4 linked regions of the Elephas maximus indicus genome follow. The protein of the gene in region 3 interacts with the protein of the main gene of each other region in a pairwise test. Links are inferred from orthologs where the notes say so. Each region holds a gene or a part of one and is shown on either strand. Other genes may lie near its edges.

Region 1 (7,570 bases), on a different chromosome or scaffold from region 3:
ACTCACAGGGTAGGAAGGGCATGAAAGCCAGAGAAGGCTGGTTGCAGAGGTGGCTGAAGGTGGGCAGGTGTAGAGTCCTCAGACTTGACCAGAGAGAGAATGGGAAGGAAAGGATGCCAGTTCCCAGTGAACCAGACTGGAAGGAAACTGAGACGGGCAGGGAGCCCCTGGGTGCTCTTTAAGAGAGCTTGTTGATGGAGCAGGGCAGGGGGCAGACTTGGGAAGGCTCAGGAGTGGGGTGGGAGCTAGAGGAAGTGGCTACCTGCCCCTCTTGGGAGGTCTGGCTAGCAGGGGAAGGACAGGATGAATCGAGAGGACTTGGTTTTTGGAACAGGAGAGATATGAGCATGTTGGGTAGACAGAGGGACAAGAATGATGGAAGCACAGAGAGGGGAAGACAGTAAGAGGCAGGGTGGGAGGCACGAAGACGTAGTGTCTGATGTTTGCGTAGTTGAGCCCTAGAAGGCCAGTCTCCTGGTGAGGGGACAAAAACTTGGAGGAGGAGGCTCCTGGGTGCAGCGTCACCACAATGGGGCAGGAATGTGGGCCACAGGACGGGTGGAGGCAAATCCAAATATGTGGGCTGGCTCCACTGAGGAAATCGAGATGGACCAGTGTTGCTGAGATGTGCTGAAACCCATGTGAAATTGTTCACTACAGGTTAGTAAGCACAAGTAAGCTTGTGCTTACCTTGCTTACTGGGTCATCCGCCCCTATTAGGAATTATAAATTGGAAAAAAGGCTTTGACTCTATAGGAAGGTGGTGTGGGGCTGGGAGAGGGACAGGTGCCAGCCATATCTAGAAGAAGAAACTTTAATGTGGTGAAAAAATGTGAAATTGTTTACCATAGATGGTCTGGTAAGCAAGGCAAGCGCCATGCTTACCTTGCCTATCAGATAATCTACCCCTAGGAAGGAAAGAAACCAAGGGGAGCAGTCAAATGTCCTCTTCTCCAGGCTGCTTGGCACAGGCAAACAACCAACCCTGCGGACGAGCTGCCCAACGAGCAAGGAGGGAGAGAGGCTGGCTCTACCTGTGAGCCAAGCCACTACAAGGTGAGGCGGTACAGGGCACTGCTGGTCAACTGCATGGTAGAAGGAGAAGACATATAAGGAAATCAGCTAGATCTAAGGGGCAGGGGCAGAAGACATTATTTCTGTGGCTTTCAGGAAGGGAAGTCAGGGAGGTAGCCAGGAAGATGTCAGGAAGAGAGAGGGTGTGTACAAGATCTCAAAGAGGAAAAAGCAGCTGAATTTAGCAGCTGGAGGAGGGTGGGGAGTCAAGAGTAATAAGGAATCTCAAATAAGGCCACAGTTCTGGGCCCAGAAAGACGCACCCTCTCCCCTTACTTGCATGGGCCTTCCATAACCCACCTGGCATCTGGGGCCTCTGCCATCCCAGGATGGGGAGGGGGATTACATGGAAGAGTGGTTATAACCAAAAGCTGGTTCAGAATCTGGCTCTGCCACTTACTAGATGTGTGACCTTGGGAGAGCCACTTTGCCTCTCTGTGCCTCATTATCCCCATCTGTAAAATGGGAAGAACTCTACCTTCTACAGTTGGTGTAAAGATTAGGCAACACACATATAAAGTGTTCAGAGCAATACTGGCAAAAAAAACCCAGTGCCGTCGAGTTGATTCCGGCTCATAGTAACCCTACAGGACTGAGTAGAACTGCCCCAAAGAGTTTCCAAAGAGCGCCTGGCGGTATACAAAGAGTTAAAATTTTTATTTTTCAGTGACCTCCCACTTGTGGTGGATGAATGCAGAGGGGACAGCTGGAGGAGGGGGACACCTACCTTCCCGGGTTTAGGCCAGGTGGCAGAACTGCAGGGTCAAGGGTTTCCTCCTTCTCCCAGACCTGGGGCATTTCAATGATTAAAGGACAGATTTTGCAACTGCCCAGGGACTGCTGCTGGGGAGGGCTCAGTCCCCCTGGGAGTACAAGCAGAAGGTCAGGGAGACTGCACAGGGGCTGGGATCTTCCCTGCACAGAGCCACACATCTGCGTTTTTCACAACAATCCAGATTTTAAAATTCTCTGCTCTCTTGTGCCCTTAAGGACAGTGGAATTCATGACCCTGCATCCTAAGGTCCAATCACTGCAAATACAGGGCCCCATTCTGAGGCTGCATTCCTGGCAAATGACTCTGCTGGCCAAGGAGACAGCTACTTTATCAAGGGCATGGGGCATAGTCTGGGCAAGAATGGGTGCTCCCCCAGCCTCAGGGAGAGGGAAAGCCAGGGACCCGGAAGGGCCAGAGGTGGTCACAACCCTCAACCTTGAGACAGATGTGCTCATGGTGATGGCAAAGGGCACTTGAGAAATTAAATACAGCTTCCTCTTTACAATCTCCCAGGACCAGGCCTAAGTTCGGCTCTAACTCGCTATGAGGGGCTTAAGGGGGTGGCTGCTGGGACCTCCAGCCTACCGCTGGCAACGGCCCGATTCCCCACTGCCCAACAGGGCACCTGCCAAGGTCCTCTTTCCTGAACTGGGGGCTGGCCCACCCCACCCCGGCCCTGCCAGCTGGAAAGCGAATTGCTCAGGGTACGTGGTGGGAGGCCCCAAAACTGCAGCCTTCAAAGGAAGGAAGCAGCGCTGATTAACATCTGCCTTTCTGGGGTAGGGTCCGCGCTCTCCCAGGCCGATGGAAACGGAACGGGGGTCCCGAAGCTGCTCTGATCCCAGAAGACGTGCCGCTCCCGTGCCCAGCTCGGGGCACGGTCTTCGGCCCAGGTTGGACAGTGCCAACGGACCGCACAGGGCTGGGTCTCCGGGGCCGAAGCCGGGGCCGGGCCTTCCCCCGCGCCCCAGCGGGCCCGGACACAGGGGTCCGGCGGTGAGGAAGGGCTCGGACACGGCGCCCCGTACGGCGGGCCGGGTGGAGCCCAAGCGCCCAGCCCGCCCGCAGCCCGCCGGGGCCTCCGACTTACCCGCCTCACGGAGGCACGATCCCGGGGTCGCCGCAGCGCCGGGGGCTCGGCCCGGCCCGGCCAGCCGGCTGGAGGCAGCTCCACGCCGCCGCCACCTCCTCCTCGGCCCGCCCTGCTCCGCCCCGCTCCCGCCCCTCCCGCACACTTTCCACAGGAAATGATTAGCTCGGGCCGCGGCGCGTTCCCATGGCAACTGGCTTAGACCCCGGCGGGGGGCGCGGCGCGCGCACTCACGCACACGTGCTGGCCCGGGCGCGCGCCCCCGTGCACTCACACGCGGGGGCTCCCACCCTGAGGCGTCAAGCTTTCACCCAGACGTGTCCACGCGGTCTCTCCCGCCTTCTGCGCCCTGCACACGCTGGTGCGCACATATTTCCACAAGAACTCACACTTTCACGCACCGAGTCTTTCACACACTCTGATACACGTGTTCTCTCACGCTACTGCAAATGCTTTCACACACACTCACACAAGTCTCGTAGGTCTCACACATATTCATCCACTCGTTAATACACGGTTGCCAGGGCTGGTGGTGCAATGGTTAAGAGCTTGGCTGATAACCAAAAGGTCAGCAGTTCGAATTCACCGGCTGCTTCTTGGAAACCCTATGAACGGACTCGACGGCAACGGGTTTAGTTAATTCACGCATGCGTTTGCACACAGGCTTCCACACTAGCACTCACACCCTCACACCGTAATACACAACTTTCACACACTCTAGTTAGCGCTTACGCGCACTGTCACATCTCACATGCTTTGCCTAACAAGCCAGTACACCCGTTCTTCACATTCTCGTACACCCTCTAGTTAGTACATGCACACACTACCACATGTTCTCACACACGCACTCACCACATACAAGCACAGCACTTTCACACGTGCTCTCTGACGTGGTTTCCCACAAATGTTCTCACACGCTCTATTGAGTACTAGTACACACATTCTTTTAAACCCTAGTACACATACTTTGAGAAGTCCCTAGTGGTGCAAGTAGTTAACTAAGCAGAAAGGTTGGTGGTTTGAACCCACCCAGAGGCACCTAGGAAGACAGGCCTGGCCATTTGCTTCCAAAAGGTCCTAGCTTTGAAAACCCTATGGAACAGTTCTCCTCTGCACACATGGGGTCACCATGAGTAGGCATTGACTCGACGACAACACATACTCTCATACAAACTCTCACACACTGTAGTCACCTCACACAATGCACTTTCACACGTTCTCACACATACGTTCACACACATGCCCTCACTCACTCTAGTATGCACATGTAGGCCAGGCTGCCTCCCAGTCACAGCAAACCCCCATCCCCACGCCCCAGCAAATTAACATCTTCCAGAACAGGGAAGCATTTGGGGTTTTTAAGGTACAGTATTCCTTTCAGCTCCAGTGAAAACATGTTGAGAGTGCAGCAGCCCTGGGAGTAGGCAGAGGCTCCCGGCCTAGCTCCAGCCTCTTCACAGGGCGTGGGGGAGGCCAGGGGGCCGGCAGACCAGGAGAGACAGCTGACCCGGAGGAGCTACTCTGTTCTTTGTCTCCCAAACAGAGGCGGCATTTTATTCCAGAGTCAACAGCACTATTCCCCCTTCAGGGTGCGGAAGAAGGAGAAAGAAAAGCTCGGAAGCCAGCCCAGCGCGCAGACCGATGGTTCCACAGATAATCCGAGCAGGGTGGGCACTCTGCCCCTTCCTGCTTGGCAGAGGATGGCTCAGGAGGAGCGAGACGGGAGGGGATCAGGCAGTTCCAGTCTCCTGCTGCTACCAGGGCCACAGGCTAAAGGTCAGGAAGCTTGATCAGAGCAGACTGAAGGCCTGAGCCTCAGCCACCTGTCTCAGTGGCTGCCAGATGAGGCCACTCACAGCCCCTCTCCCCACTGTTGGAGGTGGGCTAGCGTGTGTTTTATTTTCTAAATGAGATGCCCAAGCAAAGGCCCAGTAGAGGATAGATGTCATTCTCCTGGGGTGCTCTCTGGAGAGTTAGACATTTCCAACTAAGAGCTGAGGAGAACCTTCCCAATGGGGGAGGCTTTATTTTGAGAGTATCCCCTGTCTGCCCCCACAGACAGCAGTGGTCAGGGGGGACTGCAAGGTTAGATGAGGTTGAAATCTCTCTAGATTTCTGGGCAAGTATCTCCCTCTAGTATAAACCCATTGCTGTCAAATCAATTCTGACTCACAGTGACCCTGTAGGGCAGAGCAGAACTGCCCCATAGGGTTTCCTGGACTGTAAATTTTTAGGGAAGCAGATTGCTGCATCTTTCTCCTGCTGGTGGGTTCCAACTGCCAATCTTTTGGATAGCAGCTTAGCACTTTAACCACTGAGCCACTAGGGCTCCTCCCTCTATTATAATAGTCTATTATTTGACTCGAGGGCAGTGGGTGGGCTATTTGATTGGTGGTGGTAGGCAGGGGCTGTCCTTAAAGTCTTGGTATAAAACCGGAGGTCTTATCTTACTTTCGGGTTGGCACGTTGACATTAACTGCAGGTTCCTTCCAACAAAGCCAAAGCCAGAATTTTAAATTAATAATAACATTTATTGTTCTTTCTCTCTGATTACAAGAGTAATAGATGTTCATTGTAGCCGTAATCCCACCCACTAGAGATAAAGGCTGCCAACATTTTAGTAGTCTTTTTTTTCTCTATGCACATAATAGCTACCATTTATTCAAAGCTAACACTGTGCCAGGCACTGCACTAAGCTCTTTATAAACAAGATCTCATTTAACCCTGAACACCCTATAAGGTGGGCACCATCATATCCCGGTTTTGCAGGAGAGGAAACTGAGCCTCAGAAAGGTTAATTCACAAAGCCGGTGTGTGACAGAGCTGAGACAGGAACCCAGGTAGGGTATCCACATGCACACACACAGACAAAAGACTACTAACCAGAGGTTTGCTAAACCCACCCAACGGCATCACGAAAGAAAGCCTTGGCTATCCGCTTCTGTAAATATTACAGCCAAGGATACAACCAATGACTGCTCTGACAGGGAACACAACAGAGAATCCCTGGTGGAGCAGGAGAGCAGGAGGATGCAGGCCTCAAATTCTCATAAAAGACCAGACTTAATGGTCTGCCTGAGACTGGAAGGACCCGGAGGTCATGGTCCCCAGATGTTCTGTTAGTCCAAGTCTGGAACCATCCCCAAAGCCAACTCTTCAGGCAGGGATTGGACTGGACTATGGGATAGAAAATGATACTGGTGAGGAGTGAGCTTCTTGGCCCAAGTAGACACATGAGACTATGTTGGCATCTCCTGTCTGGAGGGGAGATGGGAGGGCAGAGGGGACAGAAGCTGGCTGAATGGACACAGGAATATGGGGTGGAGAGAGGGAGTGCGCTGTCTCATTGGAGGAAGAGCAACTAGGAGTACATAGCAAGGTGTGTGCAATTTTTATATGAGAGACTGACTTGATTTGTAAATTTTCACTTAAAGCACAGGAAAAAAAAAAGAGATTACAACCAAGGAAACCCCATGGAGTAGTTCTACTCTGTAACACATGGGGTCACCAAGAGTCTGAATCAACTCGATAGCAACGGGCTTATAAGAGTTTACTAAGATCAGAGCACCAGTGAAGGAAAAAGAAAACTGGGGCATTAGAGGAAGCACGTTCTGGCTCCAGCAAATACAGCTTTGACCTGAAATATAAAAACAAATTGTTTCATGATTGTTGGAATTTTTTTAAAGAATGTTCACTCTCACCAGGAACTACATACCAAATCCAAGGTCATTTCTAGCCTAGAATTTCATTGATGGTTTGATTGAAAGGCTGCCAAATCTGCCCTAGGCACAGAGGAGGCCAAGGATTTGACAGAGACTTGTCCGTCCCAATGTGAAGTCATGAACCCACGAACAACACGCTTGGCTTCTGCCCCTGGCCTTGGCCCTCCCTGCCCACAGTTGGACAGAGGCATACCTGTCTCGGGGAGGGCCAGACAAAAGGGTAGTGGCAAGAACACTCCATACCCATGTCCACCTTGACCCCTACACATGGGTCAGCAGTGCCATCTTTTTGTTCAAAGGGCTTGAGTCTCCTTAACACTCAGGGAGGGTCATCTGTCAGAGGTAGCCAAGGGGCGGGCCATGGGTACTTCTTCCCAGAGGGAAGCCAAGAGAAAGAAATGAAAAGCCAGTTTGTGTTTGATCTGATTGTCATAGTAACCCAGAATAACCCAGAGTAAAGCACAGATTTACATGATTTTCCAGTTTTAATGATTGAACTTGAGATTCGATGACCTCCAAACCCATTGCTGTCAAGTCAATTCTGACTCATGGTGACCCTATGTGTTACAGAGCAGAACTACTCTATAGGGTTTCCTTGGCTACTACCTTTACAGAGGAGCCATGGTGGTGCAGTGGTTAAGAGCTATGGCTGCTAACCAAAAGGTTGGCAGTTTGAACCCACCAGCTGTTCCTTGGAAACCCTATGAGGCAGTTCTACTCTGTCCCATAGGGTCGCTAAGAGTTGGAATTGGCTCGACAGCAATGGGTTTGTTTTTTTGGCTTTTATCTTTATAGAAGCAGATCACGAGGCCTTTCTTTCATGGGTGGGTCCAAACCACCAACCTTTCGGTTAGTAGCCGGGTGCAAGAGGATTGTGCCACCCAGGGACTTTTGATTACCTACCGTTAA
Region 2 (7,876 bases), on a different chromosome or scaffold from region 3:
TGAATTGCTCCAGACCAGCCCTGCATTCTGGCTGTCAGACCCTTCCTTCAAATTCTTATAACAAAGTTCAAAATAGAAAACAAATCAAAGAGGAGTTGTTTTAGCTGAAGTGGTTGAAAACCACTGGCGAACAAAAGGATCTTCCGTTGGAGTAGGAAGGAATTAGGAGAAGGTTCTAGACAAAGCTCTGATGTTAACTGCTTCTGCATTGTTGGGAAAATCCAACATATCCCTGGCCTGAGGTATATTAACACATACCTAATAAAAGAATTGTGCAGGATGCTTTCTAAAGTCACTTAAACCACCAAAAATGCTTTGATTATAATAGAAGTAAATCAAAGTCTTGATTCACTTTCTTTTCTTAAAATCAGAATTTATTTTCCACATCTTACCTTTTAAGGTCTTTATACACAGATTTCATTTTTAGTTTTACATATTAGATATGTAGCTAGTTAAATAAGCACTCTCGATTCTTTACCCTTGGATCACATTTGGTCTTAATTTGTTACAGACGCTTTGCATTACTAATCCAAGCTCTAGAAGTCTGAGAGGTTTCCAAGTGTCTTCAGAAAAGATAATAATTTGTTGGTGACGAGCATTGTTTAGGAAATTCATCTGCCTTGAAATGAAACTGAGCTGCCAAAACACTTTCATTTCCTTTTTTTTCTAGCTTTTAGGGGCGACCAAGTGATGTAGTTAAGGATGCGCCTTCTAGAATCAGACTATCAGGGTTCAGATTGTGATTCTGCTGCTTCCTGGCTACTGTTTTGACCTTGGACAAGTTACTTAACCTCTCTCTGCCACAGTCTCCCAACTATAAAGTGGAAATAAGAAAAGCATCAATCTCGTAGGGTTGTTGTGTAGATTAAATGAGTTAATGTTTGCCACGGTCTCAGATGGTGATTGGCAAATACCAAGCTATTCAATGCATAGGCTGTCAATATCTTCCTTTTTAGTGTTTCTAATCCACTGCCAAGAACTGACTGCATAAAACAACTCTTACATGTCACTCACCTGCTTGAAAACATATGATCTTCCATCATATACATGAAAATGTTCAACACCTTCTAAATATTGGCCTCGCCTAACACTCTACCCCCTTTTCTCCCTTATTCTCTATCTTTTGAAGTCCCGTCCTCCTTAAAAACCAATCGCATAAGTTATACTCTCCTGATAAGTCTTCCCAGATCACACTTGTAAGGCTTATTCTCTCCCTCTGCCATATTCTCATAGCACAAGAGTGAAGCTCTATTGTACATAGCCTGCCTGGGAGTTATTATATATGCTGTGTCCCATTTGACAGATTATGACCTCCAGGAGGGCAGGGCCTGTATCATTTTTGACTTTGTATCCCCATAGTACCTAGCAGACAGTTTTACACTTAGTAGATACTCAATAAATGGTTGTAAAACTTGGTTGAACCCACATAATTTTTTTTTTTCTTTTTGGCAGATGCCGTGAGTAAAACATAAAATAAATGAATTACTTTTCCTCTTTCCATTGCAATATATATGCCCTGGGTTAGTGGGTATTTGCAAGCCTGGTTTAGAACTTACGGATGTTATCAATCTAAGAATGGAGAGGAAATGCATTTTAAATTACAAGAACAATACAGCCTTATATAAGGCCTTCTAGCAAAGCAATTACCAATTGCTCAATAACCCAGGTGCTAGAGTTATTATGAACAAAAGTTTGAGGTTGAGAGACAATGAGTGTTCTTAACATTTATATTCCATAGGTATGCAATTCAATGAAATATGTACAGATGGAAAGTTTAGATCTGAGAATCATATGTGGGTATCATAATGCAAATAAGAACATCTGTTGAAACATCTGAAAGCAGTTGTTTATACTCTTGCCAAAATGTTGAAAAATATAATAATTCTCCAACGAGGTTAGATATATCCGGGGGAAGAAAAATACTTTTTTATGTAGTTCTGTTTTTATTAAATCTTGTTGTTGTTTCTCAAATATGGCACATAAGAGATACTCAATAATATTTGTTGGTGAATAGCAGAGAGTCATTAAACAGTTGTTGAATGAATCATTTCTTTTTTTTAGACTTAAAAGATCGATACACTTCCAGAAAACAGTATGCCCAAGTTTTACCACATCATATACCATTTTTATTTGGCATAAATTTAAGAAATGCCACGCTTTCTCTGAACATTATAGAATGTAATCAGCAAGTAGGTCTACAAGAAAAATATCTTAATGCTATAGAAAATACATGAAGAACACTAAATATGATAATGGCATTTTAATATCTTAATTATGGTTCTTTTATTCATTATTGTGAAACACTTGAAGTTGGAATCGTGGGCTTGCATAATAATGTTATATCAACAAAACAAAATAAAAAACCCTGCTGTTGTCTATAGTTGTGGTACTTCTAGAATACTCTAGCTTAGTGTTTAAAAGCACCAAATATTCTGGGCGTGTGAAGAAGACCACAGAAGATGAAGAAGCAAACCATCTCACCCCACATGTCCTTTCCTGAAATTCCAACAGCTCCCTTCGACACTCCTGTGTGAGTGAGGCAACTAGACTCCCTAAAGGCTGCCCAAATCTCACTCTGCCAAGTTTCAGAACGGAAAGAGAATGTTAAATAATATATGTGAGTTTGAGTGTAACTAATAAAATTGGAATGTTAAATAGCAGCATGCTTTTGAAAACCAGCCTCCTTGTGAGGATGCTCCCTGTGCAAGTCCATAGGAAATAATTCTGAAGGGAGTGATATTAATTAGTAATATAATTTATCTTCTGGAAGCCCTTTCCTTTGATGGCAGCCGTGGTACAGTTCATAAGCCTCCAAACGAGTGCTCAAAGAAAATGGCTCAAACCACAATTTCAGCTTTGTTTTTCATCCTTGAGCAAATAAAAGAGTCAAATTTATTCCTATATATCTAAATTTTACACGTGTCTATATGATGGGGAATTATGAAGTTCTAAAAATGCTTTTATGAAGCTTTCAATGAAATAGTAAAATACTTGTGATATAATACAAGGAAAAAAGAGCGGAAACAAAAATTAAATTCATGGCCTCTGATCACAGATTTCTTGGGTTCAGAGCTCACTCTGCCATATAGTAGATATGCAACCTTGGCAAGATACTTAACTGTTCTGTACCTCGGTTTCCCCCGCTAAGCAATGAAAGCAATACTAAAATCATTCTCAAAAGGATGTAAAGTGTTTGGAATAGTGCCTGGAAAATACTCAGTAAATACTATTGTTACCATCATTGTCATCATATACTCACAGTAGTTTTAAGTTTACAAAGGAAAAATGGCAAGGTGCAGGGGATTAGCTGGCAATAGCCAAAATGCCATTAATATTTGCTTCTGATTTGTCAACTTATGGGTAATTCTTTTCAGCATCATTATACTTTTCAGTATGTATTCCTTTATAATAAAGTTTAAAAATCAAATTATGCATACACGGCTTGATGGAAATTAAGGTGGAAATCTGGAATAGATTAAAAGTTATAATCAATTATACTACAGCATTAAGGAAATACATAGATGGTGGGGCAGAATTTACATCTACCTTATTTTACTTAATTCTAAATACATTCTAACTAGAAAATACTTTTTAAAGTTTAACCAACGTCAATTTAACATTCAGAAGTGGAGTCAATTGTTTATTCAAATCTCAATATTTTGACCTACTATAAGTAAAAATATTTTATTTTTTAATTTTAAAAATCTCATGCAAAAGTCCCAAAGGTGCCTTTCATGTTTAAGCTTTAATTAGCAACCACTTTGGTCTCTGACACATATTGCACAGATATTGAAGTGTTAATATAACCGCAGCTTGATTACAAAAGGCAATGATTAATTTTAAAGCAGACAAAAAAGATATGCCCTGATTACAAAGGAATGATTAAGGTGGAATGTCAGACATTGCACATTTATAGCAGTCTTTGCCATATTCAAAGGATAAGACTTTGCAAAAGTTTATATTTAGAATCACGGGTACATTGTACTTTATAATACTGGGCGTTTGACTAACAGAGACAGATCACCTCAACTGCATGTAAGGCCTAAGACTTCAGGGAGTTACGTAGCCCACAGGAAACCGCCTCTGAGGTAGAATGGGCCCAACGAGACACCGTAGTGTAAGCTCTCTCCTGGCAGAGCCTTATCTGCCGAGGCACCAGCTCTGGCCTTAGCGAAGGTTTCTTTCTCGGCAGTTTTTGGTAAGTACACATATTGCTGAGAGAAGGAAGTCTCCAAAGATTTCATCCCTAAAAAGAGAAGGATTGAGCGGAAAAGGCTTACCACGGAAAGGGCCGCTGTCGAGACCCACTAGGAAGCCAAGGCCCAGGGCTTCCATTTTTATTTTGCCCTGGGACAAAAAGCCAAACCTGGAGTGGGGAGAGGCCTTCTCTGAGGGGAAAAAGGCAGAGTTCAAACTATTGTCCTAGATGAACCGAGGATTTGAGGGAGAAAAAAACGGGTTTGTGGACTATAACAGGGGAAACAAAGGCAGCGAGAATGGACTGCGAGCAGAGGGTGAGGAGCCAGGAGGCTGCCCCGAGCGGGGTTGGGGTCTCGGCCCCTCCCCGGGCCCCGGCGGTGCCCCAAGACCCCCAGGCCGACTCCATCCTATGTCGGGCTCCTGCCTGGGCGTGGGGAGGCAGTCAGGGTAGTGGAGGCCGATCTGGGAATAGCTCAAGAATAATCTTTCTGCTTTATTGTGCTTTCCAGGATCCTCCGCCTTGGTTATAAAATACTGAACGGTGAAAAAAGGATTCACAGGAGCCTGGGCCTGAGATGAGTTTAGAGTCCTTGTTTCAACACATCATCTTCACCGAGCATCAGGCTGAGGAGAGCCGTCGCTTGATGCGAGAAGGTCGGGGGATTGCTGTCATTGTGCACGAAGCCTTATTGTCTCCTTGAGTTGGGTGCTTGGAGCCGAAGGAAATCCTGAAAGCAGTGGTCAGAGCAGTTAAAACCCCAAAAAAACCAAACCCGTTGCTGTCGAGTTGATTTTGACTCATTGTGACCATATAAGGACAGAGTAGAACTGCCCCATAGAGTTTCCAAGGAGTGCCTGGTGGATTCGAACTGCTTACCTTTTGGTTAGCAGGTGTAGCACTTAACCACTACAGCACCAGGGTTTCCACACAGCAGTTAGGGGAGTTCGTTTTCCACCTTGGGAAATAAAGCTGAGATTTGCCTTACTAAATGCTACCCAAAAAAGGGGATTTTTAGAAAGATTGATCTGTATGTGAGTCAGAATCGAACTGACTGCAATGAGTTTGGTTTGGTTTTGGGTTGATGTGTTTAAGGATTTAATTTCTATTACAGTCAGGGCCGAAACAATCAGATGTCGTGAAAAAATTAAGAAAGCAACGGTGGAGCTGAATGAAGAGAAGATCAAGTTGGAATCTAAGGTATTGACCATGGAAAGCATGCTAATTAGCACTTGAAAAAAAATCAGGTTTAACTTGACCTTTTAGGAGTGTTTCACTTATTAACTGCTTGTCCTTCAAGTAAGAAGCACACTATTTCTGTGCTGGTTGATGTAGCTCCATGTTGTCTGGTAATATTTAAAAGTCCGAATCCAGTGTACCTTCAGTTCTAATATGAACTTGCTTTAAAGAAACAGTTCAAGTAATGATGTAAATAATGAAGAGTTCATCGTCCATTTTGAAGACTGGTTAAGATTTTTAAAGTGTAATGTCATTGGAAAAATAATTGTTCAATAAGTAGTTGGCATAATATATAAACTTTGAATAATAAATAACTTAAGAAGCATGCTGTATTGATACAACTGTTGAATGTAACTTTCGAATGAGTTTCTGCCTTTTGTTTTTCAATTCTCTGCCAATTTTGGACACCATTTGTCATCCAAAAAGGGTAATTTTTCAACTAACATGTCTCACTTTTCTGCAGCTTTTGTAAAGTGTGTTTTTTGAACTGGAAGTAAAAGAACCTGGTAGCTTCTTGAAGGAGGATTTTGAAGTGTGGGAAGAATATTGGAGAGGCAAAGAAAATAGGAGAAAAACATTGGGTTAAGAGGATATGAACAAAAGGGAGAAAGTAGAAATGCCTGAGGCATATTGGGAGAGAAAGCTAGTCAAAGCAAGGCTGATATCTGGGATTAGAGGAACCCATTGGTTTTTATCAGGGAAGGTATGATAAAAGCAGTTTTAGGAGAATCTCTCCCAGCTGCGATAAGGAGGATGGGAGCAGCATATAGTTAGGAAGCTAAGGACATCATCTAAATATATCACAGTGAAGGCCTGGCTATGGGTGGGGACAGACAGCCATACAGAAATACAAATTTGGCACCTAATGATGAACTAAGCAAGCAGTATGCCATGGGAAGTCTGTTTGAGAAAGTCTGTGTGCTTAAGATAAACATATCTATTTTAACTTACCACTGTGAATAATTTCCATTTTTCTTTGTGAGTAAAGTAATCACAGAATCCTTCTCCACCTGATGAGGTTCTTCTCTTCCTTTCTAAATCTAGCTCAGACATTACCTGTGAAGCCATTCCATGAACATTTTGGAAAATGTACAGATGGCATGGGGGCAGTGTCTGACCTCTTCTTACTCACAAGGGAGAAGGAGAATCAAGATCAACAGCCCAAGGCTGAGTCCTATGAGGCGGAGGTCAGACATACCACCTCTTTCTGCCGTCTTTACCAATTCTGACACCAACTGTCCCTCCCATGCATTCTGTACTTCTGTGCCAGGTTCGATAATTCATTGCAGTGGCCACAGAGAACTTACAGACAATACTCATGATTTTGGGGTTTATTAGGAAAGTAACAGGTTACAGTCCAGGTTCAGGAATGCTCAGGATACAGTTCTTCCATCAGGACAGGCTCTTCCCAGTCGTGCTTGCAGGCATGCCTCTTCTGGCCTTTGGCCCCTGCCCTGCATGGGCTAGTGTCACAGAGCTCTTTTAGCTCTGCTGTTAAGTGCCCGGAGGTATGCCACTCTGCCAGTAAGCCTCAGCCCAAAGGCACTCAGCTCTAGCTCTGTGGGTGGAGGAAGCCCACCATGCTGTCTCCTGGATTGCCAAGCCTAGCGTCACCAACTGCCTGGAGGCACCTTACTGTTCCAGCAAACCTCCTGCCCAAAGGCACTCAGCTTTCTTGCTTTGTGGGCTGGGAAGCTCAGCACACTGTTTTCCTGCTGCAGGTCTCTGCTGCTGCTGTTTCTCTGCCACTGCTTCTCACCATCTTCAGTGTAAAAGCCCTCTCAGTCTCTAGATTCCAGGAGCTTCTCAGTCCAGGGATTACGGGTCCAAAGGACATGCTGTGATCTTGGCCCTTCTTTCTTGGTTGTGGTGAGATCCCACCTCTGGGATGGCTCATTTTAAGCTCAGTGGGATGGCAAAACTGACCAGTCCCCTTGGTGGGCCACAGTTACACTATTTGTACAGTCCCACTCAATCACTTGGGTGGGCGTTACAAGCCAAGGCAAGAAAGATGGCAGAAAAGTGATCCATTGCACCACAAATTTTTTTTTTAATATTTTACTGCATTACCTTACAACTAAATAATATTACATACTTGTGTTTGTGTCTGTTTCCCTTACTGTTTTGTGAACAAAATATCTGAAATTATTTTTCTTACTCATATTTTTATTGGTTATAGGATGGTGCCTGTATCTAATGCCTAGCACATAGTCTACATTAATGTTTTGAATGAATGAATGAGTACCAATAGTGCGATAATAGGGACAGTGTTGTTTTTAAAAATAGGAGTTGGAACTATTGTTCAGTGAGACCCTAGCTCTTGCTTTGCTTGTGAATAGCAGATACGCTAGCTGCTACCAGCAATACTAAAACTGGTGCGATGGGCAAAACATTAAGAATGTCATGATATAGGCTTATCTTTTTCCTTAAAAAGAATTG
Region 3 (7,792 bases):
AGAGATATTAGCTGACACCAGGAAACATCTCAGCCCTGAGGGCTTCTGGAGCAGCTGAAGGTTCCCCGCCCCACTTACTCCTCCCTAGTGATAGAGAGCCACTTAGCTGAGCCTTAGGTGATGGACGCAACTGGATTCCTCCTGTGCTCACCATCCCACTCCTAAGCACTGCTATACCAGCATCCTGGGCAACATGCCACAAGAAATGAAGACTCATGGTATCCTCTCTCCCCATCAGCCACCCCACTAGACACTACTAAAATAGGCTGCTCTGGCTCAGTGGGGACAAACAGCCAATCAGAGATGCACATTTAGGCTCTTCCATGCCTAGAATGGTTGTCATCTTCTTTTTATTAAGAGATGTCCCAGTTGCTTCAAAAGGAAAATTGCAACTTTTTTTTTTTTTTTCTGGTCTAAAAAGGGGACTGCTTTGATACTGCCTTTTTTTTTTTTTTTTCAGTCATGGACAAAGTTACAAAGTTCCATTCATTATCTTACCATGAAGGCTTGATAATTTTTAGGCAGAGGCTTAGGACAGAATTGAGCAGTCTGTGAACCGTGGCAGTACAGTGAAGTCCTCAGCATCTATATCCCTATCCTGTGAGGCCAGAGGCAGCTTCCTAATAAGATACCTCTTAGAATGACAGGTGCACACCCCGGTCCTTGGGCAACAACATTATTCTGCATTGATCTCCAGATACTCAAGCTTGGGGGACAGCCTGACATGCCAGCAGATACAGAAGCCACAAAGACACACCACTGAGAGGGGACAGGGAAGGTGTTCCCCACAAAGTAGGAACCACTTCCACATGGGGGAATCAAATAAGGAATAAGTGAGTACGCCAAGCCATACATTATAAGCCAGCAACCAGCGTTCCCCAGAACTAACCAGCCCACAGATACAGCCACAGGACTCACAGACACGCGTATTAAGCTTGTTCCCTCTGACTCCTGATAACACCTTCACTCAGATCTCACACCATTAACGTGACTTCAGCCCAGGTCTGGAAATAATAGAACCTGAAACATATCTTGTAAGATATGCTAATGGATCTTTGCCCACCTTGGCACTTACATACCGAGTTTCTACTATGTTGATTTTCATTCACTCAATTTTGTTTTTTTCTTCCCTGCTTCCTAACTCCCCTATTAGTCTGGGGGCTTCCTGAGTGCAGGAACATTTCTTCCTTCCTCTGCACTGCACAAAAATCAGCACACAAGCAAGACATCCAGTCAACAATGCTAAGTAGTCCCCCTCCTGGTTCAAATATGTCCATAGCTAGCTAATTCCTTCCTCCTCAGTCCCCTTTCTCTCTCTAAAATCTCCAAATCATTTTCTTACTCTTTGCCCAATGGGTACTAAACATTCCTATAAAATAGTCCTCTATACTTCAAAGTCTAGCTCTTGGTAGGGTCTTGGTAGGATACTGAAGTGAAATACTTTACGAAATAAAAGGCCTAGTCCTAACCTCAAGTGTTGTAAGTGTTCAGGCTTCATGATTTATTACCATGGGCTAGAACCCATGAGCCTAACTAAGTCTCTAGCCCCAACCTAACTGTTTTTGAGATAATCTAATTTGATTAAAAAGGCCCAAGGATCAGGGTTTTGCAAGTAGGTCTTCTTGGTTATATTTCCACTGACCTCTTTTTCCTGGCATTACTTATTGGTGGCTGTAGGCCCAGTGAGGCCTTTGCAAGTCCTGCAACCTACATACCACCTAGGCTGGGGTTGGCATACCCACTTATTGCTGTGACTCGCCAAAGAAGGGAAAGGCCCTGCCTGGGAAAGATACATCAGAGTCCAGAAGAGTCCTGAGGCAGCACGGTCTTACCGCATCAAACTCCGCTTGATCATCCTCAGGTAGGTCACTGGTTTCATAAACATCTGGCTCGTTCCTGGCCTGCAGGCAGAAGCAGTGATCACCAGACCTCACCACCCAGCATATCCACCAACACCCCTTCCTCCATTCCACTTGAACAAACAGAAAAGGCAGGCTGTGATGCCAGGATCCTGTCCTTTCTCTTCCACCTGTCCCTAACAGCATGTCAGTTCCCCATGACTCAGTGGGGTGGGGATGACAGAGGGGACAACTGGGACCTGATTGTAAATGGTATGTACTGATGACAAAGATGTTACTCATTACTCTGAATCTGAAGGCTGGGGGAGCACGTCCTTGGCAATCATATCACAAGTAGGTGAGGGCTATCCTTGAATTAGGCCCGGAGCACCACTACCCCGGCACAAGGGTTAAGCATGAGTCGGGACCAAGGTCCTGTGATCCAACCCCTACCCGGAAAATACAGACAGAGCCGCACAAAGAGGGAACACGCAGGCATGTGCATGGGGGAAGGGAGGGGCAGATTCCCGGGGGACAGAGTTCCACCTCTGACACAAGAAAAGTTCTGCCACCCTAATCTCTTCCTTGGCAGGGTGAAGGCCATCACCAAGTATCCTGTTGTGTGTGTTCTGGGGTGGCGTGAGAGGTGGGGGGTTTATAGGGAGATTTGGGACAGCACGGGAGGTGTTGACACTGGTGGTAACACTAGGGCACAAGTGGTAACGACCAGCAACGACTTCGGGGCCGGGGAGCCGGCGCCTGCCGGGAAGGGGGTCTGGTGCGCCGTCCGACGGCCCAGCTCAGTCGGATAGAAGGAGTCCGGAAGGTGCTGCGGCCGGTCTCGGAGCGAGGGGAACGCGTCCTTGGGGCGGAGGAGGGGCTTCAGGCGGGAGGGGTTCGGGTTGGTGTCTGTTGGGGGTCCTAGGGTGGTCGGGGGCGCGGTCCTGGGAAGCCGTAGCCAGCCCTGTACTCACAATGCCGGGAAGGTCGGCGTATTTAGGGTCCGCCATGGCGGCGGCGAGGCGGGGTGGGGGGACCGGGGCCTCAGTAGAGCCGGGGCCGGTGTTCAGGTAGGGGAGAGGATGAGTCCGGGTCCCGGGCTAAGACGGCGGCAAAGGGAGCGGCGCAGGAGGCGGAGGAGCCGGAGGTCTCGCGACAGGAGTAGCACAGCAGAAGGGTAAAACAAAAGTCGCGAGAATAGCCTGATGCCACACCTCCGGCTAGGCAGGGATTGGCGAGAACGAGGCCAGAGAATGAGGTAATGGCAGGGATGGAGGGGAAACGCCGCCTGGGATTGTGGGATGTGTAGTCTTGGCGGGCTGGGGTTTGGGCAGGGAACGACAATAACGCGTCTTGAGGAGCTGTTTTACACTACTTATTTTCTTTCTTTTTTACATCAAGTCTGTGAAAGAGATCTTATATTTCCTTTTTTTCAGATGAATAAATTGGAACTTCCAGAAATTAAGTGGCTAGATAAAATCACAAAACTCGTCCTGTTATGGCATAGCCAGGGCTTGAAAAACAAGTAAAATTTAGTAAACGCTTAGAGCATATTAAGAGCTTTGGTGATGTAGTCGTTAAGTGCTATGGCTTCTAACCAAAATATCAGCAGTTCGAATCCACCAGCCGCTCCTTGGAAACCCCATGGGGCAGTTCTACTCTGTCCTACAGAGTCTCTATGAGTCAGAGATGATTCGACGTCCACTTTTTTTTTTTTTAGTGCGTATTAGGTATGGAAATCTTATCTTCTCAAGTTAGGGGTGTCATAAAATACAGGACGCCTAGTTAACTTTGAATTTCAGAAAAACAACTAATAGTTTTTAGTATAAGGGCGCATGCCATATTTGGGACATACACAAAAAATTATTAATTATCTGAAATTCAAATTTAACTGGGCTTCCAGTTTTTTTTTTTTTAATTTGGCAATCCTATTTCAAAGTTATATAATAGGAAAGTGATACTTCCATATCTGTCAGACCACCCTCTGTGCTCTTAACCACTTCACTAATAGTTTCAAGACCTTTGAATTTCACAGTTCAATAAAATTGAAACAACAACAGCAAATCTTTTTGAGGATAAACACCGAATTGCTACCTTTTTATTTTTCCAAGTAAATACATTAAAAAAAGAAAACCTACTGTCTCTATCACCAACTTAGCAGAAAAATAGGAAGTCTCAGAATAAAAGACAGTTCTTTTAAACTTAACTAGCTTTGTGAAAAACTCACCACATTGTTCTTTTCTTTAATAATATTTTATTGTGTTTTTTTGTGAAAGTGTTCCTGTTTGACAATTTCCACACAAATCTATCAATGACATCAGTTACATTTTTCACATTGTATCAACATTCTCTTTGTGCTCTGGTTGTTCCATTTCCAGTACTCTAGTTTCCCTGCCCCCTTATCGTCTCATCTTTACTTTGGATTAAATGTTGACCTTTTGGGCTGGTACAGATGGTTTTTTAGCAGAGCACAGATCTAAATGGTAATATATCACATTGTTCTTTTTGGGGGGTGGGGAGGGGAGGGCTATCCAGTGACCCTTCATGGCCTGGCATTCTGAAACTACTAAGTATGTTTCCCTGAAGCTCCTGGGGCCTCAAGGTTGGGATGTTTCCCAGGATATTTCTCGAGCTTGCAGGATGCTGCAACACTTAGAAATAGTGCCAGACAAAGTGACTGGAGAGATACCTATTTTCCTGAGTTTAGAACTCGTTGTCATTCTATCTACACTTTCCTGGCTCCTCCCCCAAGCCTCTACCCCTCTTTCTCCATAGTTCCACTGCCTTCTCATCCAGTTCCTTAAGCTGGATCGTTTTCCCTCAGTTCTCTTAAGATTCAGGTGGGTTAGAGATATAGGTCTGATGGGAACTCCCTCCTCAGATGAGTTCTGAGTGGTTGGGTCTTTTCTGGCCAGGCCATCAGCCTCTTACCCTTGCCCCTTAGTGTCTAAGTGACCTTAGACACTTAACAGACAATTGCTGGGTAGAACCTCCATTCCCTCCTCCCTGCTCCCATCACCCTGCCCCTCCCCTTGGCCCAGAGCTTCAACTCCTGCAGTCCAACTCTCTGTTGGCCAGCAAAAACCTGTGACATGGAGAAAAATCAATTCACCAGCTTCTTGGTGGTTCTGCCCCATGGGCTGCAGCTGTAGGTTGACCTGGGAGAAAGAAGGACAAGGCTTTTCTGGGCTTGACTTGTACCAGGGAAGGGAGGAGAAGCAGAGAAGAAAGGCCTGAGAAAGGGGCTGGGATATTGGGATTCTGTCCAGTGGTAACTGGAACAGGAAACATACATAGGTGCTTAAACCTGCTGAAACCCAAATGCAGGTGTTCACCCTAAGAATCCTCTCAGAGGCCCCTGTAGCCTTGCCCACTCCTATCACCACTCTCCTTCACCGCCTTCTGACTCCCTTTCTCTTGCAAAAGTTACTCCTGCCCACCTCCATCCCAGTCTCAATTTAGTAGGCAAAAATGAGAAATTCATCTGCTTTTGAATTCTGATAGGCCAGAATGGGAGTTTGTCTTCTTTCAAACTGGGGACCTGGTGTGTATGTTGGGGAGAGAGTAGGGTGCACCCTTGCATATAGAAGGGGAAGGTGGTAGCCAGACTTGCCCCTGATACCTCTTCCCCAAGAATGGGACCTGGAGACCCACCCTCAATACAGGTACAGGCAGCTGCCCTTGAAGGTTGAGTGGGTTGGGAATTTGGCATCTGTGCGTGGGAGGTGAGACGGGGGAATGAGAAGTGGGCTCCCAATTTAGAGAGAGGACTGTGACGGGGGTAGAGGATACCCCGGAAAAAAGGGATGGAAACCTTGTTGACCCTCTTGTTAAGACAAGCGCACCTCCGACCCTCTATTCCCTTCCAGGGGGTGGAGGGAGGGACAAACAGGTCGGGGGAGGGGGACGCAGTGTATGAACTGGATTGGGAAGGGGTGAGGCAAGTTATCTCCGAGCCTCAGGGGTGAGTAGGGGACAGGTGGGAGTAGGGAGGAAAGGTCACACCCTGCGCTGGTCATTGTCGTGCGAGCGGTTCCCGGCGAGGGAGGCCACGCCCCCCGCTCCTCATCGCGGCCCCGCCCAAGCCCGCAGCGCTGCGCTGCAGCGGGAAGGGCGGAGAGGCAGAGCGCCGCGAGAGCACCAGCCGCCAGGTCCCCCGCCCGCACCCCAGTGCCGCAGGAGAGAAAGCGCGCACAGGTCCTGCTCCCAGTCTTCGCCTCGGCGCCCCTCAACAGAGACCCAGCTCCTCTCCTCCGCCTCGGCCTCAGCTGAGCGCCCTCCTCCTCCGGAGCACACATCACCCCTGCAGCCCCAGAAGTGCCCCAGCCCCACGTCGGCGACCACCATGACGGAGACCAACAACGAATGTAGCATCAAGGTGCTCTGCCGCTTTCGGCCCCTCAACCAGGCAGAGATTCTGCGGGGGGACAAGTTCATCCCCATTTTCCAAGGGGATGACAGCGTCGTTATTGGGGTGAGTGCTGCCCCTGGAAGGGATTGGGGGGGGAGGGCGGGAGACTGAATCTTATACCGCAGAGCCTAAGCGCCTGCCTGTCACACTGCGCCCCCTCCCCTCCACTCATCCTCCATCCTCCATCCTTCATCCTCCAACCATCCTCCGCGCCGCAGTCCCTCCTTCTCTCCCCTGCATCAGGATGGCTGGGTGTGGCCTGGCCAGGCCAGCGGCCAAGACTCTGCAGAGGGGGAGGGGGCTACTTCTCCGGGACTAGGGGAGCCAGCTCGCCTTTACTACTCTCTACAGGTTCGCCACCCCTTAGAGTCAGTCCCGTGTTTTTCTGATCTTTTCCCTCTCTCCCCAGAGAAGGTGCATCTTCTCTTTGTTATTGGCTCAGATCTGTGCCCCTCACCTCCCAGCAAGGGAGGAGAAGGCTAGTGGATGGGCTAGATGGGAGGTGGGCAGTCCAGGGTCTCTGCGGTGGTGTGAATGGAAGTGGGGTCCAGGACCAAATCCGGGACCAAATTCCTCCATCATCCCCTAAATTAGTTAAGGCCTGGACTTGGGGGAAGGGCACAAGTCTGTTGAAGGGTGTTCTGGGAAAGGAATACATGGATGCCACGCCCAGCTTGGGGGAAGCCTCTGGGGTCCTAAGGAAATGTCTCCCTTTTCCTCCCAGGTACAATAGGAAGAAGATTTCAGACCCCCCAACACTTCCCCTCCAATAAGTAAAAATGCTCAAACCCAAGATCCTAATAAGTACCTGCTTATTCATCCTTTCCCTTGATGAACCAGTAAAAGGTAGCAAGCCACCTCTACCTCATCATGATAATCCTTAACCATGGAGGAGGTCTTGTTAAGAAGGAAAATAATATTTATTGTGTTCTTGTCACTCTATCCATATTATTTAGTTCTTAAAACAACACTCTGAAGCAGGGATTAATATTTCCATTTTACAGTTAAGGACCTTGAGGCCCAAAGAAGTTAAATGACTTTCTCAAGGTCACACAGTTAATTCATGGAGCTGAATGCAAATCTGTGAGTTCAAAGCTCATGCTTTTTCCTCTACATCGCACTGCCTCTCCAGATTTCTGTTCTGGACCTTTATCAGTTATGACTCAAAGGGAATTGCTAGGCCTCATCCACTCCACCTTGCCTAGGCTGGTGGAATGGGGTGAAAGGATCTGGGAATTGAGTCCTGTGGGGCTTGAGGGGTACTGGGCCAGGAAACTGTAGCCCTGCTTAAGAAGGGAGGGGCGAATTTGAGGGCAGTCCCTGAGCTTCTCAAGGTCAGGAGCACTTCTTATGTATCTTTGATCCACAGTCTTTGACACAAGGCAGCTGGAAACACGCTTGCTAAAGGAATGAAAGGAGAGGAGGGAACCTGGGCTCTATGAGTCAGTGAGAATGAGATTTTGAGTAAACATGTCTCAGGGAGAGGTCTGCTTACCCATCCCCAAGGATCCCCAAAGGGGACTATGCCACCACCCTGTCCCCT
Region 4 (7,196 bases), on a different chromosome or scaffold from region 3:
ATATGATTAACCCCTTCTGCTTTTCTTTTCCATTAGGGCATATAAACCAAAAATATCCAAACTACTGCTGTATTATTTAAACTTTAACAAAGCATATTTGGTTTATTTTAATGTAACTCAACCATCCTAAATTAATACATAGTTTGTTTTCCTTCCTGCATGGTTCTTTGTAATTTTTGTTCCTTTTGACTTGTATTTCTGTTTCAACACAGCTTCCTTCTTCATTTTCACCTCTTTCCATCTGCAAAGTCACCTATCTCCGGTCCCCTAGAACATGTAGTTGAACTCACTCAGCCCCTTGACATCAGTTTCTGTAATCCTTGCATCAGTGTAGGGAGTAATTGCTTGAGTAACTACAAAGGTATTTCAAAACTTCAGTGCAATTTGGTTCAGTTATTTTCATTCAGATGCCATCACCGTTCGGGGAGATTAATCACCGGAACCCACTGATCCATGTATCGACTTTCCCGGCAAAAACAAATAAGTTGACTTAAGGCGGGATCCTTCCATTGCGATGAATGTGGATTCTGGGAACAAATTTAGGAAAATAGATGTATTATTATTATTTTTTTTTAAATCAGCATTTGCTAATACTTACACTACCCTGAGGGGAAGATACTTAAATATTCTATCTCTTCACTATGTAAAATAGAGATAAGTTACAAGCATAAATAATAAAATTTCTAGGTAGTTAGATTACTTGCACAATTGTTAATTATCTATTAAACTATATTCTGCAGAGTCTGAACACAGGCAATCCACACACCACATACATATATTTACATGACGGTATTATTGTTTTGCATGAAAATATCATTCACAATCTTGCCCTGCAAAACTGCACCCTGGCAGAGACCTGAGTGAAAGAACTTGGAGAAATATCTCCACGCTGTACGTGCAGTGAGATGAGCTGTAGAGCAGTTAAATAGAATTGCCACCCATTATCCTCCAAAAGATTAGAGCAGCAAAACAGTCTGCCACTTAACTAGAACCAGTCAGAATACAATAAAATTTAAAAGACAAAGCTACCACATTTACCTCTGAAAGGTTTTTTTTTTCCTCCCCAACAACAAAAGGGTCCATTAAAAAAATGCAAGATTGCAAAGAAAAAAAATTTCCACTCTGTCCTCTTAATGTACTTCTAGGGAATTAATAAGGTCTGTCTCCTACACCACTTCTATTTTTAGCTCTGACTGGCAAAGAATGAAGCTGACTCCTTAATGAGGGTGAGCCAGGAATTTATTTGGCTTTATCTAATCTGCCCTGTTAAAGGAATTAGTCACGGGAGGTAGTGCAGATGTAGGTAGGGAGTAGCTGGGCTGACAATGCTGACTCACAGGGATCTCTTCCGCTGCTGGCAACCTCCAACGTGCTTAGACATGTTCTGTACCAGGGAAAATCCTGATGATGAAACTAGCACATTCGGCTGAAAGTCCGACCACACTCTCTAGGAGGGCAAAGGCAGCCACCCTCTTGACTCCCACCCGCTCTAGACCTGCAGTCCAAGAATTCTTAGCCCTTCCTTACTTCCTTCCGGGACTTTAACCCCCGGCCCCGCTGCCCCCTTCTCACTTACCGTCACCAGCACGCAGTGCAGGTCGGGGGGCTGCTCGGCGCCCTCGCTCGCCGCCCGGCCCGCGTCCGGCTCCAGCAGCAGAAGCTCGGCCAGCCGGCCCGGGTTGCTGACGCGTAGGATGTTGATGTCGTTCTCGCAGCAGAACGCCTGGATCAGGGTGAAGTGGATCTGCAAAGCCACATCCCTGTCGTCGTCCTCGTCCGCCGCCAGCAGGCACAGCACCACGTTGTCGGGGTCTCTGCGGGCAGCGCGGGGGCCGGTGAGCGCCCAGGCACTACAGGCCCGCGCGGGCGCCCGAGAGCCCCGGTCCGCCTCCCCTGGGTCCCCGCGGGTCGCGCTCCGGTCGTCCCCTCCCCCCCCCGGGGGCTGGCACACACGGAGGCGGGCGGAAAGCTGCAGCAGGACTGGCGCTGCAGGGCCAGGGGCGCGCCGCAAGGGCGACCTCCCAGGCTGGGCGGGAAGGGGCGCCCCGAGGGGACACGCGAGGGCCCCACTTACACATTGAGCAGCTTGGCCGCCTCGTACACCCCGACGGTGATGGTGCGCTGACTCAGGGCTTTGCTGAGCACTTCCTCGAGGGCATCTCCCACCTTATCCATCCTAGACGCGGCCAAGGGCGGAGGAAGGGGTCCCGTCAGTCCAGGCCCCCGCGAGAGCCGTAGCACCCCCTCGCCCCGTCCCAAGTGCAAGTGCCACCGTGCACCGGGGCTTTCTGCAAGCCGGGGCTCCCGCCGTCCAGCCGGCCACATCCCCTCACACTCTGAGGCCGGGACAGTGCCACCCGCCACCCTCTTCGGAGGACACTGCCAATTCCCGGCGCTGGGCGCAGCCACAGGCTGCCAGCCGCAGGAGCCGCGCGGGCAGGGACGACCGCGCTGCCCTTTGCAAAGACCCACGGAGGGACCCGGCCGAGCTGCAGAGAGGGCCCGAGGGAGGGTCCCGAGGGAGGCCGGGCGGACATGCCCTCTGCAAACTTTTCCGCCCGCTCCCCGCTACAGCTCCACAGCCCTCTGCACCTGGGGTGCGCGGGGTGGGCGAGAGGGCTCAGGGAGAGGCTGGGGAGATTGCCACCAGCCCGAAAAGTCCGCAGGCTGACTTACCTTTCGCTCTTCTGCTCTCCAGCCGAGAATTCCTCCAAAGTCATATTGCAACTGCAGGTCCCCCACAGAGAGCGGCGTGCGGGCTGCTCTTACCACCGTGGGCGCGCGGCGGCTGCTCTCTGCACGCCCCTCACAGGCACCGTGCGCCGACTCCGGCCCCTCAAGCGCGCGGTCCCCGGCACTGCCCGGCCGCCCCTCGCCCGCCCGGGCTCCTCCTCCAGCGCCCGCCGCCGCCGCGCCCTCCGCCCCTTGCGCCCGGTTCGCTCGCTCGCTGGCTCTTTGACCCTCGCCAACGGACGCGGAACGACGACTGCAGTTGCTCCACAGCCACTGAAGGACAAAGGGCCCGACTCGCCAGAGTTATCCTGTTAACCTCCAGCCAACCACCTCCCGCCTTATTTGCATACTACGCAGCCACTGGGCTATGCAAATAAGCCTGGTCTGGCAATTTGACCCCAGCTGCTGGTTCCAGGCGGAGAGGAGCGGAAGAGGGAGGAGCTACGCGGGAGGCGGTACTAGGGGGCGGGGCGGTGCAGCGAGAGTAGGGGGCGGGGTCTCGAATCCTGTTGGCGGGGCCGATCGTGGAGAGGGGTATAGCTGTTGAGGGACATAGAGGGGGGCTTGTCTTCAACTTGGGCTGGAGAATGCTGTCAAGTGTTTTTCTAGTTGGTGCACATTTTTTATTATCGTTTCATGTCTTTTGTTTTTAGGGGTTGCTGTTAAAGTCTGTTTCCAGGGTTAATACACCCAAGTCTAGTAATTACTAGTAAGCAGGTTACATAAAAAGAGTGTGTCCAGACCTCTGGGGCAGTTTACCTCAGAAGAGTTGTTTATGTAAGTCTGAGCAAAGCTGCTTATTAGTAGTAGTATTTTTTCGGTGCCTTGATGGCTGGTTTGATTTATTTTTGGAAGGTTACAAGGGCTGGAAGCTCAAAAAAGAAAAATCAACACATTTGTGTTTGATGGTGGCAGGGGACCAAGTTGGAGTCTTTTCCACAGAAAACAGAAAGGCTTTCCACCTGCCCAGTGTAACCCTGGAAAACCACGAGCTGGTGCACGTGGGGAGCTGGTGGCCACATGTGTGAATCCCAGCTGGACAACCCCAGTTCACCTTTCCCGGAGAGCCTTTCCCTAAGGAGGATCCTCCTGCACCGGTAAAAGCCAAAAGACAAATGTCTGACACCTTCACATGCCACAGCCTTAACTCAAATTGCTCTCGATATGCCCTAAGCTTCCTTTCATAAGGCAAGTAAATATGTCACTACTTTCCACGGAGAGGCTATGATCTCACTGTGAATTACTGACGTTGGATGCAGAATCATGAAGCTGTAGCTATAGCATGTTTGTTATATGCTAAAATTTCACCTTTGAGATAATGGCAACCTGTCGGTGGAAAGCAGGCCTTTATAACTGCAAACAGTAGTCACACATTTTTGAAACAAACTTTAATATATAGACTTTCTCTGAATGGGTCAAAAGCCCCTTTCTTTGTTTTATGACTTTATGCAATAAATGCAGAAATATTTCTTAAACCTACTTAAGTAACCAAAAGTGGTGAAAATGCCTCCCGCATGCTTGCACTAAAAACAGTGCTTGCATTATTAAGGTCGCTGTGCAGCCAAAGGTCACAGAAGTAACTTTTTTACAAAGATATCAGGACCAGAACCAGTATCAATTGCCGGTGATTCTGACTCATGGCGACCTCAGAGTTTGAGCAGCTGATTTGGGGGAAGTAGATCTCCACTCCTTTCTTCTGAGGCATCTCTGGGTGGACTCAAAGCTCCAATCTTTCTGTTAGCAGCCAAGAGTGTTAACTTTTTACACCACCTAGGGAGGCAAAGATAACATGGAAGTTTTTGTACCCTTACAGAGCAGTTTTTTGCAGCCACTGCAGTGGTGTAGTGGTTAAGAGCTACGGTTGCTCACCAAAACGCCAGCAGTTCGAATCCACCACCAGGTGTTCCTTGGAAACCCTATGGGGCAGTTCTACTCTGTCCTATAGGGTAGCTGTGAGTCTGATTCAAGTGGAGGGCAACGGGTTTGGTTATTTTATTTTTTTTATGTTTGTATCAACGAACCTTGTGGCACAATGGTTAAACATTGGCTCTTAATCGAAAGGTCAGCAGTTTGAACCCACCAGCAACTCCAGGGCAGAAAGCTGTGGCAGTATGCTTTCGTAAAGATTTATAGCCTTGGAAACCCTATGAGGGCAGTTCTACTCTGACCTATAGGATTGCTATGAGTCTGAATCTATTTGCTGGCAATGGATTTGGGTTTTGTGTGTGTGTGTGTGTCATTCTTGGCAAAATATTTTCTAGTTCTCTTGTTCTTAATTTAATGGAAAAGTGATAGGTCAGGTTTCTGGTTCACTTATCCAAGCTGTCATTTTTCACTCAGTCCCTAACTGCACTGTGAGCAAGGGAATTTGAGTAAAAGAATGGTCACGGTCATTGTTTAATTCACCTAAGGGTGCTTGTGTATCTTGTATCTGTACCTTAAATTCTAACATGTGGTGTCTTTGTTAAAGAATTCCTCAAGATTGAAACTTAGGTAGGTGCTGAAGCACTTTCAGTTTTGCAAACAAAACTTGAATTACACAATCTAGCCTGAATCATCGTTTGGAGATTGTTGAACTGTGTTCCTCGGAACTGCAACGTTCTTTACACTAGACGTTTCTCAGAGGCTCTCTGGAAGGAAATGTAGTCACAAGTCACAGCAAAGACTGTGACTTTATCAACTTGATGTCCTCAGCACCTGGCACAGTGTCTGCATTTAGTAGAAACATAATCCATGTTTATTGAGTGGAGTAGAATCCAAAATTTGAACAGGATCGTGCAATTCCTTCAGTCTTGTGTATTGCATGAATTCCCTCTAAAATACTTCACATTTAACTTTAGTTAAAAAACGAACAAACAAATAAACCCAAGAACTGTCCATTCTTGATCCTTTGCCTTTAAAGAACTTATGATCTAATGGATATGTTTATGCTTGAACAGGATTTTAGGACAAAATATTATGCACTGTCACCTGCTAGCTATGCTGAAAGTCCCATGACTTTACTCATCTGAATGGAAACTGTAGGACAGTAGAACTCATGTATTGTTTACACCAATTCAAATGAAACACAGTTGTAATAATGTCCCATCCAAGTCAACTATGTGCAGTAAAAATATGGCATAAAATAGTTAATTCTTTATATAGGGGTAGTCCCTCACTCAAAAACTACGTTGCACGCTCTATCTGGCCTCATGGGAAAGACGTTTGTTCAAGTATTGTGGGGTTTTTCTCTGCGAGATAAGCCCAGGCTTCCAGTATTCAAAAATATCTATTTGTCATACTTTCTGACTCAGATATGTTACATCATTTTGCCTTGTTGCTGAGTCTACCTAGACGTTTCATCAGTGATTATCTTCAAAGTTGGGCCTTGTGGCTGCAAGTAGAAACTACAAGTAGCTGCATTTGAAATGTAGTTATGCATCGGAATGATCATAGATGGTTTTTTTCGTAAATGCTTATTTGTCATCGGGAAAGAAAGAGGAATTAGTATCCAACAGTAAATCAGAGGAATTTCCCTAGATAAATATACATATTTTTTATAGCCAGTGTAAGAACTCCAGTATGTGAAGTCATTTTTAAGACTACTCCAGGTAGCCCTGAGTACTTCATTTGCACAGGATTAGAATGACCTTTTAGTAGTATTTGAAAGGATGCCAAATGGTTATATTTGGAAATGAGATGGAAATATGTACTCAAGAATTGTGGAATTATTTTAGCATTGCTACCTGCTTTGCATGTGAAAATCTTTATGATATATTCTTCACTTTTATCATATATACATCCCTACTACTGGTTCTATGGAAACCCTGGTTGCATAGTGGTTAAGAGCCACGGCTGCTAACCAAAAGGTCAGCAGTTCAGGTCCACCAGGTGCTCCTTGGACATTCTATGGGGCAATTCTACTCTGTTCTATAGGTTCGGAATCAACTCGGCGGCAGTGGGTTTGGTTTTTTGGTTTACTGCTGGTTCCATAGTACAGAATTATAACTTTTTTCCTTTTAAATAATAGTCAATCCTTTAACATCTGAAAGAAATATGATGTTTGTTATTTCAGTATTAGAAAGATCATCGTTCACAGTAAAGAAGACAAGTTAGACTATGACGGATGTATCTACCACCTACCTAAAATATAGAACTGTGTTACTATATTGTGAAAAGTCGTAAGGTTCCTGATATACATATTTTTTGTACAAGTCTGGTGAAGTTAGTTTCTAAATGCAGACCTGAGAATTTCCCTCCTTTTTTGAAGATCATTCAAACAAGTTTTACCATCACCTAAAAATGTGTGGTCTTGTTTTAGGATCAATATTTCTGTTTGATTTTAAGATAAAGGTTTGGTTTCTTGAGCCATCACTGTGATAGGCAGAATTCTCAGATGGCCTCCAGGAGCTTCACCCCCTGGTGTTTCACTTTGTATAATTCCTTCCCCTCAAGTGTGGGCAGAACATGTGACTTGTTTGTAA

What was found.
Region 1: the proteins of DCTN2 (region 3) and KIFC3 interact in binary tests that used the Homo sapiens proteins (3 or more experiments, as listed by UniProt). The two-hybrid records come from large-scale screens. The link is inferred for Elephas maximus indicus from reciprocal best matches to the Homo sapiens genes DCTN2 and KIFC3.
Region 2: the proteins of DCTN2 (region 3) and CCDC172 interact in binary tests that used the Homo sapiens proteins (3 or more experiments, as listed by UniProt). The two-hybrid records come from large-scale screens. The link is inferred for Elephas maximus indicus from reciprocal best matches to the Homo sapiens genes DCTN2 and CCDC172.
Region 4: the proteins of DCTN2 (region 3) and GADD45A interact in binary tests that used the Homo sapiens proteins (3 or more experiments, as listed by UniProt). The link is inferred for Elephas maximus indicus from reciprocal best matches to the Homo sapiens genes DCTN2 and GADD45A.

The regions. Positions count from the first base shown.
Region 1 is NC_064839.1:24,689,253-24,696,822, forward strand, and holds the start of KIFC3 (kinesin-like protein KIFC3), read right to left. Parts: upstream 3,047-7,570; 5' UTR 2,940-3,046; intron 1,864-2,939; exon of another isoform or gene 1,802-1,863; intron 1-1,801. UniProt on the Homo sapiens protein: Minus-end microtubule-dependent motor protein. Involved in apically targeted transport. Required for zonula adherens maintenance.
Region 2 is NC_064834.1:67,089,905-67,097,780, forward strand, and holds the start of CCDC172 (coiled-coil domain-containing protein 172), read left to right. Parts: upstream 1-4,775; coding exon 4,776-4,854; intron 4,855-5,312; coding exon 5,313-5,398; intron 5,399-7,876.
Region 3 is NC_064822.1:117,449,733-117,457,524, forward strand, and holds the start of DCTN2 (dynactin subunit 2), read right to left. Parts: upstream 3,014-7,792; 5' UTR 2,849-3,013; coding exon 2,813-2,848; intron 1,902-2,812; coding exon 1,833-1,901; intron 1-1,832. Other genes in the region: KIF5A (kinesin heavy chain), read left to right, coding at 6,184-6,312. UniProt on the Homo sapiens protein: Part of the dynactin complex that activates the molecular motor dynein for ultra-processive transport along microtubules. In the dynactin soulder domain, binds the ACTR1A filament and acts as a molecular ruler to determine the length.
Region 4 is NC_064821.1:113,651,030-113,658,225, reverse strand, and holds the start of GADD45A (growth arrest and DNA damage-inducible protein GADD45 alpha), read right to left. Parts: upstream 3,030-7,196; 5' UTR 2,721-3,029; coding exon 2,677-2,720; intron 2,177-2,676; coding exon 2,075-2,176; intron 1,815-2,074; coding exon 1,577-1,814; intron 528-1,576; coding exon 414-527; 3' UTR 1-413. UniProt on the Homo sapiens protein: In T-cells, functions as a regulator of p38 MAPKs by inhibiting p88 phosphorylation and activity.